Linked DNA regions of Drosophila melanogaster. The protein of the gene in region 1 interacts with the protein of each later gene in a pairwise test. Each region holds a gene or a part of one and is shown on either strand. Other genes may lie near its edges.

Region 1 (4,237 bases):
GCCAGATCTTGGATCACCTCGACTAATTCCACATTTTTCCACCCTTTTCTAACCAGGATGAACCAACGCCGCCCCTGCCAGCCGTCAACAACCAGGAGCTCAGTGCCAGAGCCAATGTCCTCAATCGTGTGGGCCACCAGCAGGACAAGTGGAAGCGGCAGGTGCGCGAGCAGAGACGCCACATCTACGACAGGCATACCATGCTAAACTAACAAGGGGTTCGGTTTGCAGCTGGCGGAGATTAGGAGGCGCATGGGCGACTTAAGACACGTATTCCAAGCAGTTATCCTTTGCGAAATTCCCCTTTGGATCAAATTGATTATCTGTATATTTAGCCAGATTTTATGTTAATTAAAATAAACCAAAATATGTTTGTCAGGAGTGTTTGCATATTAATTAATAAGTTGAATGCCGGGAGGAATAACCAACAAATCCACTAAAATAAAACTTTTAATGATAATTGATGGTTATAATTTGGGAAAATAAGGAACGTAAGACCGTAATGGTGAGTCCAAGTTAGATTTGGAAACTCCCTTGGGCTTCTTAGTTTGACGCCTACTTTTTGATTCCATCAGTAGAGATTAACGAAAGAATAACTCGAAGATAGTTTCTATCACACAATAACCATAACTTTAAACGTATTATTTTCAGCCACATTTATTTTTAATAAATCATGTAACCACATATCCTTAGACAAGTGTTTTTTTTTAATGCAAAACCGCCGAGCTAGACCTAAACTAAGTTCATTCAGAATCGGAGGCTCTAGTATCCCTTTATGGTTTCGGCGAATGTCCAGTTTTCGTTAACTTGGAAGGGCCCCTCCACGCCGCATCCGTTGACGCTGCACACGCCCACAGTGTATTGGGAAATATTACGAGTATCGCGGTAGTAAAGCACCTCCATGCATGTGCGGATCTAGAATATAAGAAAATGGTAGGGTAGTTAAATAATGAAGAGTCCCCCCATCAGAGTTCGAAATTCCTTACCAGTTCGGAAGCTTCTACGGCGGTAAAGTCCCTGTCCTTGGGCTTCTTCTCACGGACCAGCGGAACGGCCAAATGGCGGGCAAAACCAGTGGCCACCACGTAGTCCTCGTAGGATCGTCCACGGAGATCCACGTTGGCCAGGTACGGAGTCCCCTCGTTGTCCACGCCGCCGACAACCACGTCAATGTAGAGGGGGTTCATCCGCGAACGACGGTTGTAGAGCACACGGGTCATCCAACTGGCCAAGGACTTGGGCTTCATCTCGATGTTGTCGTCGCAGCACTGGTCCTCGATCATCTTCTGGTCGATGTTGCGCTTGATGGACTGGATGTCAGCGAAGTCGCCGCTCCCGCCGAGCAGGATGTTCTTGTTGACCTTAAAGACGCGCTCAATGTTTTGGTAGCGGGCCATGGATCCGTAAGACACCAGGGTGTCGGCGGCCAGCATCACTCCTGAATCATAGCGAATGCCAAGCACGGAAGTGCCCGTGGTGCTGGAAGCACTGCGGAATAGTAAAAGGAGTGTAAACAAGTGGTACATCTGCATATAAACATATCCGCAGTTCCTACGTGCTGTGCTTGGTTCCATAGGGTCCCATTGTGGTCAGCTCCCGCGGTAGCTGCTGGACCGGCGTCTGTCCGCCCGTGAAGTTGTAGAACTCGCCGGGAGCGGGTCCGTTCTGCCACATGGGCTGCGCTAGGCTGTTGTAGTTGTTCAACATGCTAATTTATTCGGAGACTGGAATAACGCGAGACTTTGAAATGTTTGTCGCTGCCGGAGAATGACGGGCACAAATAAAATCAAGAGTCAGCGCAGTGTGAACAGACTTTAGGCGGGCGGCAATACCAGTATCGGCAACCGGTAGCTAAAAATACCAGACATACCAAAGATGAATCCACTATTAGCTTGGTCACACCGTTTTACATGTGTTAAATTAAATTAATTTGAAGTTTAATTGTGAACTTTTTAACATTTTATTAGATGTTGATGTTAAAAGTAATGTAAAACAGTTAACACCACGCTGCCTATACTGAATTTGTTTTTTTACTTTTGTCTTTATAATCCTCGTTGATAATACAAATCAAGGAGAAGAAAGATAAGAAATTAAAGAACTTTTCACTCAATTAGGATTAAGACTCATGTATACCCGTTGCTTCTACGGTATTTACTACTCCTTGAAACTAAATATATGTTTAGTTAATATATAATGACCATTTGCTTTACTTCATTTTAAGCCGTTCAATGGTCATTAAAGTATAAGAATCGAGAGCAATAAATGTAAATGACGTTTGGAAATTATCCTGGTCAATCTACAAATCCAATATCTCCCTTCTCTCCCTTCGAACACGATTCTCCATAGCTTTTTAAGCGGAATAAGGTTCTTTTGCTAAAACTTCTGCTTTTATTCATATTGGTGGGAAAAACGCACATGTTCCGGATTGTTGTTTTTGGGAACCCAACGAAGTTTTTTATCATAACATTTGATCATATAAATTAATAATAAAGAATTATAAATTTGAAGACATATAAATACATTTTTATTGCCAGTATACCAGTACACAATTTGTAAATATATAGGTATGTGCATAATGCTTCCGAGGGGAATGTTTAGGTTGCTGCCGCATCTTTCAGATGCCATAATACAGTCGATAATATCAGTTGCTTTATTGAGCTATGCTAAAAACAATGACGGGGAGACCCGCTCTTTAACACGATACATATACGAATAAGGATACCCTACGCAAAACTAAGAGCTACATGTCACGGCCAACGATTGATGCTAATTCTATGGGGTTAAAGCTTCTAGTCCTTGCAGCAGCAGTAAACATTGTCGCTAGAGCTAGCTGGGGTTGTGGGCGTGGTGCCGCCCTTGAGGGGCTTGCTGTAGGAATGGGGACCCCGCATGAAGACCTCGATGAGCTGACAATGCGATCTGCCAGATACGGAACGGTTAATAAGCGATTTATTGAAGTTAAAGGTACAACCAACTCACCGCATGGTTATGTCCAGGTCGGTCACCACCTCTCCATCACAGTTCCAGCTGGAAAACTCCGTCGAGGAGGAGTGGGCGGTCATTTCTTCAGGCGGTGTAATCGGCTGACAAGACCCTGCCAAGCTGTAGTCCTCCTCGCTGGCAGAAAAAGTTCTGAACCGGAATTCCCTTGTGCGATATACCTCTACAAAAGGCAAATTGCGCTGCAATGGGAAAATGTTTTTAAATATTTATTGTTTTCTACAAAATTTAATTGTATCCTTTTATTTTTCATTTATATTTTTACAGTAAAAGATACCATCGCATTCACTAGATAAAACATTATATTGTTGAAACTGGTCAAGTATATACTTTATATGGATGCCACCAGAGCGGCTAGTAGATCTTCGTAAAATAACCTTTCTGTCACAGATTTCCCTCGCTTCAATCCGAGCTAGATGGGGTTCGGTTTTGGGTTTTTGGCTTTTAGGATAGAAAGCACTAAGCTCAGCTTGTAGGCTTAGGGGATTTGGCAATTAAAGATGCAGTTAAAATGTTATGGAAATGTTATTTCAAAGGAAATGGACGCCTCTTATAGGAAAGGTGTTCTTTTGGATGTGAAAGTTGAATAGTTGTAATAGTTAGTACTCACAATATCACCACTTCTGCCCGCCGTGTTGAGCAGAAAACGCACGTTGTTGAGCAGTGAGGTCTTTTTCACGAGAATCAGGTCCAGGCAACCATCACCCAGATGACTGTAACGGGAGATGCCATTGGGACTCCTGGCGCAGGCGCAGGTTATGTTCGCGCCGCAGATCATAAAGAAATTGCCCCGCACAACCTTCCACTGATCGTTGCCGAGGTTCCTCATTGATGAAATGGAGCCAGTGGGCAATCGAAGATTGCCTGGACGCGGACGAGGCCTCAGGAGTGCTGCTTCACTGGCGGCTAGATGAGAGTCCTCTGTTTCTACCTGCTGATTGCGCTCTGCCTCTTTAGATTCCTCTTGGATGAACAATGAGGATCGCTGTTCCTGTATGCTGCTGGCGAAGCTGCAGCGCTGGCAATTGGCATAGCAGACGGATGGCACTGACTCTCCCAGCGAGCACACACTATCCGGACTCTGCGGAATGTCCTCCAGCGGCGTGGTCAGTAGAAGATCGGGCTCTTCTAACATTCTCAGTTCGGCGTCATAGCCGCGATTATTCAGGAAGGCCTTGACGCCACTGTACTCGTACCGGCGCGGTCCCATCCAGCGGTAGTTCTCGCTCTGGGCTGC
Region 2 (4,400 bases), 7.1 Mb from region 1:
ACGACAGACAAATCCGACTCTGGGGTCTGGAATCTCAGAAACGGTGAGTGCAAAAAAACCGGCATTCCGCAATGGCGCTATAATGCGCTAAAATATATTTTCGATTTAAGCCTTCGCACGGCCAAGATTCTCATCGCTGGACTGTGCGGCCTGGGCGCCGAGATAACCAAGAACATCATCCTGTCCGGAGTGAACTCCGTGAAGCTGCTGGATGACAAGGACGTAACCGAGGAGGACTTTTGTTCACAATTCCTTGTCCCCCGTGAATCGCTGAACACCAACCGGGCCGAAGCATCATTGACACGGGCACGTGCTCTCAATCCCATGGTGGACATCTCCGCCGACCGCGAGCCCTTGAAGGAGAAGACCTCTGAGTTCTTCGGTCAGTTCGACGTTGTGGTGGTCAATGGCGCGACCAACGAGGAACTGTTGCGCATTGACACCATTTGCCGGGACCTGGGCGTCAAGTTCATAGCCACCGATGTGTGGGGCACCTTCGGGTTCTACTTTGCCAGTCTGCAGAAGCACAGCTACGTCGAGTAGGTTCCCTACCTACCATTGCCCATTGCTAACTTAATGTCCACCTTTTTTCCAGGGATGTTATTAAGCACAAGGTCGTAGCCAATTCGGAGAAGAAAAAGAAGTATGAAACCGTGTCCATTCCAACGCAGCGTGATGTGGATTATCCCGGCTACTCTGCCTGGCTTGATTTCGATGTTACCGAGCCTAGTTATTTGCGAAAATTGAAGCGCAATGGCCCGGGTGTTTTGCTATTAAGTGTCCTGCAAAAGTTCCGCACAACCCACAAGCGGGATCCCAGCTACAAGACCCGAGAAGCTGACCTGGAATTGCTTCGCGGAATTCGCGACGAACTGCTGCCCAACTCTATACTGGGCGACGAAGCTCTAGGTCTGATTTTTGCACAGATCTCGCCAGCGGTCGCTGTTGTCGGCGGCGTTGTGGCACAAGAGGTCATCAAGGTGGTTACTAAATTGGAGGCGCCACACCGTAATCTGTTCGTTTTTGACCCAGAGACTTGTGCCGGATACGTTGAGGCCATCGGAGCGAAGTGAATTTACCACAAAGGGCTTATTTATAAAAATCTGAATATCAAATAACACCAGTTGTAAAATTTTATTGGTTTTTTAATGTCCCGTACTTATTAAGAAAGCTTAGCTTGTGGTAATCTTAGCGGGGCGTTTAAGTTTAGGGGATGCTGGCCAAGTAGTCCTTGATTGAGGCGGGGTCCAGACGCTGGAATCCGTTCTGATCGCAGATTCCGATCTCAATGTTGTCGGCAGTCATTTTTCCCTCAAAACCTTCTTTCAGCGTAAGGATGGCGGTGTGAACAGCGTCGTCCAGCTCCAGATCTTCGCTGTAGCTGCAGGTTGATGAAAATATGAGTGACTTGCGACTTTAATTGGTGTACTATTATTGGTACTTACCGCTTCTCCAGGAAAGTTTTGCCGTTCACTGCGTTCTTGCCCATGGCAGTGGCCTTCCAGGCGAAGTAGGCGCCCGAAGGATCGGATTGGTAGAGATACGGACGATCATTGTCCCAGCCGCAGATCAGTAGGGAAACGCCAAAGGGACGAACGCCACTGTTGGTGGGATTGCATACGATTATCTATGGGAACCCAAAGTCGAGAAAAGCGCGCACACTTACCCGGACTGAGTGTACTCCTGCATGAGCGTGGCCACGCGCTGCACCAGCTGTGACACTGGAATCGGCTCCTTGTAGGTCAGGTAGTACGTCTGGGCGATCTTGCGGGCCTGCTTGACCAGCAGGCGGTAGTCCGGACCCATTCCCGAGTACACCATGCCGATGTGGTTGTAGATCATCTCCACGCGATGTACACTGTGCTGCTCATACAGCGGTGACTTGTGTTTGTTCTCTGTGGCAATGACGACGCCGTTGGAAGCTACAGCCAAGAAAAATAAATAATAGTGTGTTAGTTGAATGCACAGTACTGGCTGACAGGCTGACTGGCTGTGCGGCATGCTAACCTATAATGCCCACGGAGGGAGCTCCGCCAGATACGGCCGCCAATGCATACTCCAGTTGGACGAGTTTTCCGGAAGGACTGCAAACGGTAGAAAATTGTACTTATTGCCCAGTCATGGCGGCAGTTTGTGTTGCGCGGGGCGAAGCGAATGCTCCGCTCCGGCTATAGCGATGCTCTCACCTGAACGTGGTCAACGAAAAGCTGTATCGTTCGGTAGCCATATTTCCTGGGCCGCAAATGCAGTGATTTGATGTGTAAAATGAAAAAGCCGACTTATTTCGCACAGAAACAAAAATGACACAGCAATTGGGCGGCAGTGTGACCGAATGCTGAATGCCAAATATGGTACAGGTCGATCAGGGGGACTAAACAAATGGGCACACTACCGATTTCTAAACTTAAAAAAATATTTAAACTCATTTATTTATTTTCGCCTACTTTACTTCTTATTACATTATTTCTAAGTTAATTCTAAACTAATTGGTTTTAATCCGATTTAGTGCCGCATAGGGTTCGCCGCAGGTGTCGCCCAAGACTGGACTTTTGTGTGTATCGGGTTGAGCAGTGTGAACACTTGTAGGGTTTTTCCCCCGTATGCGTTCGCAAGTGTTCCTGGTGTTCTGCGCTTCTCGCAAACAATTTTGAGCAGTGCGAACACTTGAAGGGCAATTCTCCCGTGTGCGTTCGCAAATGCATGTGAAGAGTCGAGCTAGTTGTATAGGACTTCGAGCAGTGGGGACACTCGAATTGGTTTTTTCCAGTATGCTCTTGCAGGTGCACCAGCAGTTGCGAGCTTAGTTTAAACTCCTTCGAGCAGTAGGAACACTTGGGTACCTTTTCTCCAATATGATCAAGCATATGCACCCGAAGATGCGTACGACATTTGAAGTCCTTGAAACAGTGGGTACACTTAAAGGGCCGCTCTCCCGTATGCACTTGCTGATGCTCCACAAGATGTGACTTCTTGAAGAAAGATTTCGAGCATTCGGCGCACTTGTACTGTCGCTCTCTTGTATGCAAACGCACGTGGACTCGATAAAGTGACCTCATGGCAAAGGTGGCTGAGCACTGGGAACACTTCAGGGGCTCTTTTCCAGCGTGCTCAAGTAAGTGTAGTTGAAGTCTCGAATTCCTTGCAAAGGTCTCTGAGCAATGGGGACACTTGAACGGGTCTTCGCCCGCGTGCACTCGCAAATGAATTTGCAAACTATCATTCTGCAGAAAAGTCTTCGGGCACTGGGTACACTTAAAGGATCGTTCGGCGTGCGTCAGCAAGTGCTTTTGTAGAATTGATCTTAGCTTAAAACTCTTTGAGCAGTGGGAACACTTAAAGGGCCGTGCCTCCTGATGCGTTCGCAAGTGTTCCTGGAGATGTGAATTGTTTTTAAATGCCTTTTCGCAATGGGTACACTCAAAGGGTCGTTCTTCACTATGCGTACGTAAGTGTACCTGAAGATGAGATTTTCGCGCGAACGACGTCGAGCACTGGGTACACTTAAAGGGGCGCTCTCCTGTGTGCTCATGCAGATGTTGTTTAAGCGATGAATTCTGGGTAAAGGTTTTTGAGCAGTGGGAACACTTATGAGGTCGCTTTTCGTGTTTGAGCAAGTGTCGCTTGTAATGCGTCCTGCGTCCAAAGCTCTTGGAGCAGTGGGAACACTCGAACGGACGTTCTTCTGCGTGAAGTCGCAAGTGTGATTCGAGGTTTTCCTTTCTTGTAAACGTCTTTTGGCATTGGGTACACTTAAACGTATCTGTTTGCTTTCGCAAGGGGCGCTTCTTTGCTATTTTGGATTTACACGTCTTCAGCTTCGACGGGACGCCTTTAACTGGCTCCAAATCTTTGCCATAACTACAGAAGTTCTCAATCTTTATTTCGCTTTCAAGCTCTTCGAAGTCGCTGTTAGAAATGAAGATTAATTCTTCTTCGAAAGTGTCTTCTTGAGGTGGTTCGTCCTTCACGGGGCGTTGATCTACGTTCGCCAGATCCATAGTTCTGAAAACTATAAACATTAGGATTCATCTCTAGTGCGATTTTCAACTACTTACGAATAACTTCATGCGCTTTTAATCCGATTTTAGCACCGGAATTTTGTACAACAAAAGGGTAAGACCATCAACATAAAAATCAGCACTTTGCTTGTAAACAAAGCGTTTTCCTGGAACTGATAGAAACCTTGTTGCACTAGCTACAACTACAAAATTATGCAGATTAAAAACACCAGTCTCCGTATTTTAATTCAATCAATTTATGCATTCTAATGTAGTAAAATGTTTAAATGTTCAAAATGTTTGCCCTCTAAAAATATTTTATGCGGTATACTTTGAAAACGCGCTTAGCCCATCTTTGATGTCGTTTCCTTACCGGTCCAGCTTCGGTCACACTGTTTACCT

Evidence for each region. Proteins that work in one complex are often made in the same cells at the same time.
Region 2: the proteins of Prosbeta7 (region 1) and Prosalpha2 interact in binary tests that used the Drosophila melanogaster proteins (3 or more experiments, as listed by UniProt).

Annotation. Positions count from the first base shown.
Region 1 is NT_033777.3:5,356,369-5,360,605, forward strand, and holds Prosbeta7 (proteasome beta7 subunit), read right to left. Parts: upstream 1,997-4,237; 5' UTR 1,708-1,996; coding exon 1,556-1,707; intron 1,489-1,555; coding exon 987-1,488; intron 916-986; coding exon 763-915; 3' UTR 644-762; downstream 1-643. Other genes in the region: CG1161 (uncharacterized protein), read left to right, coding at 57-212; Cerk (ceramide kinase), read right to left, coding at 2,790-2,919, 2,980-3,182, 3,611-4,237. UniProt on the Drosophila melanogaster protein: Non-catalytic component of the proteasome, a multicatalytic proteinase complex which is characterized by its ability to cleave peptides with Arg, Phe, Tyr, Leu, and Glu adjacent to the leaving group at neutral or slightly basic pH.
Region 2 is NT_033777.3:12,429,268-12,433,667, reverse strand, and holds Prosalpha2 (proteasome alpha2 subunit), read right to left. Parts: upstream 2,348-4,400; 5' UTR 2,228-2,347; coding exon 2,187-2,227; intron 2,085-2,186; coding exon 2,008-2,084; intron 1,923-2,007; coding exon 1,667-1,922; intron 1,602-1,666; coding exon 1,446-1,601; intron 1,382-1,445; coding exon 1,207-1,381; 3' UTR 1,112-1,206; downstream 1-1,111. Other genes in the region: Aos1 (activator of SUMO 1), read left to right, coding at 1-43, 111-539, 596-1,073; CG5245 (uncharacterized protein), read right to left, coding at 2,493-3,998. UniProt on the Drosophila melanogaster protein: The proteasome is a multicatalytic proteinase complex which is characterized by its ability to cleave peptides with Arg, Phe, Tyr, Leu, and Glu adjacent to the leaving group at neutral or slightly basic pH.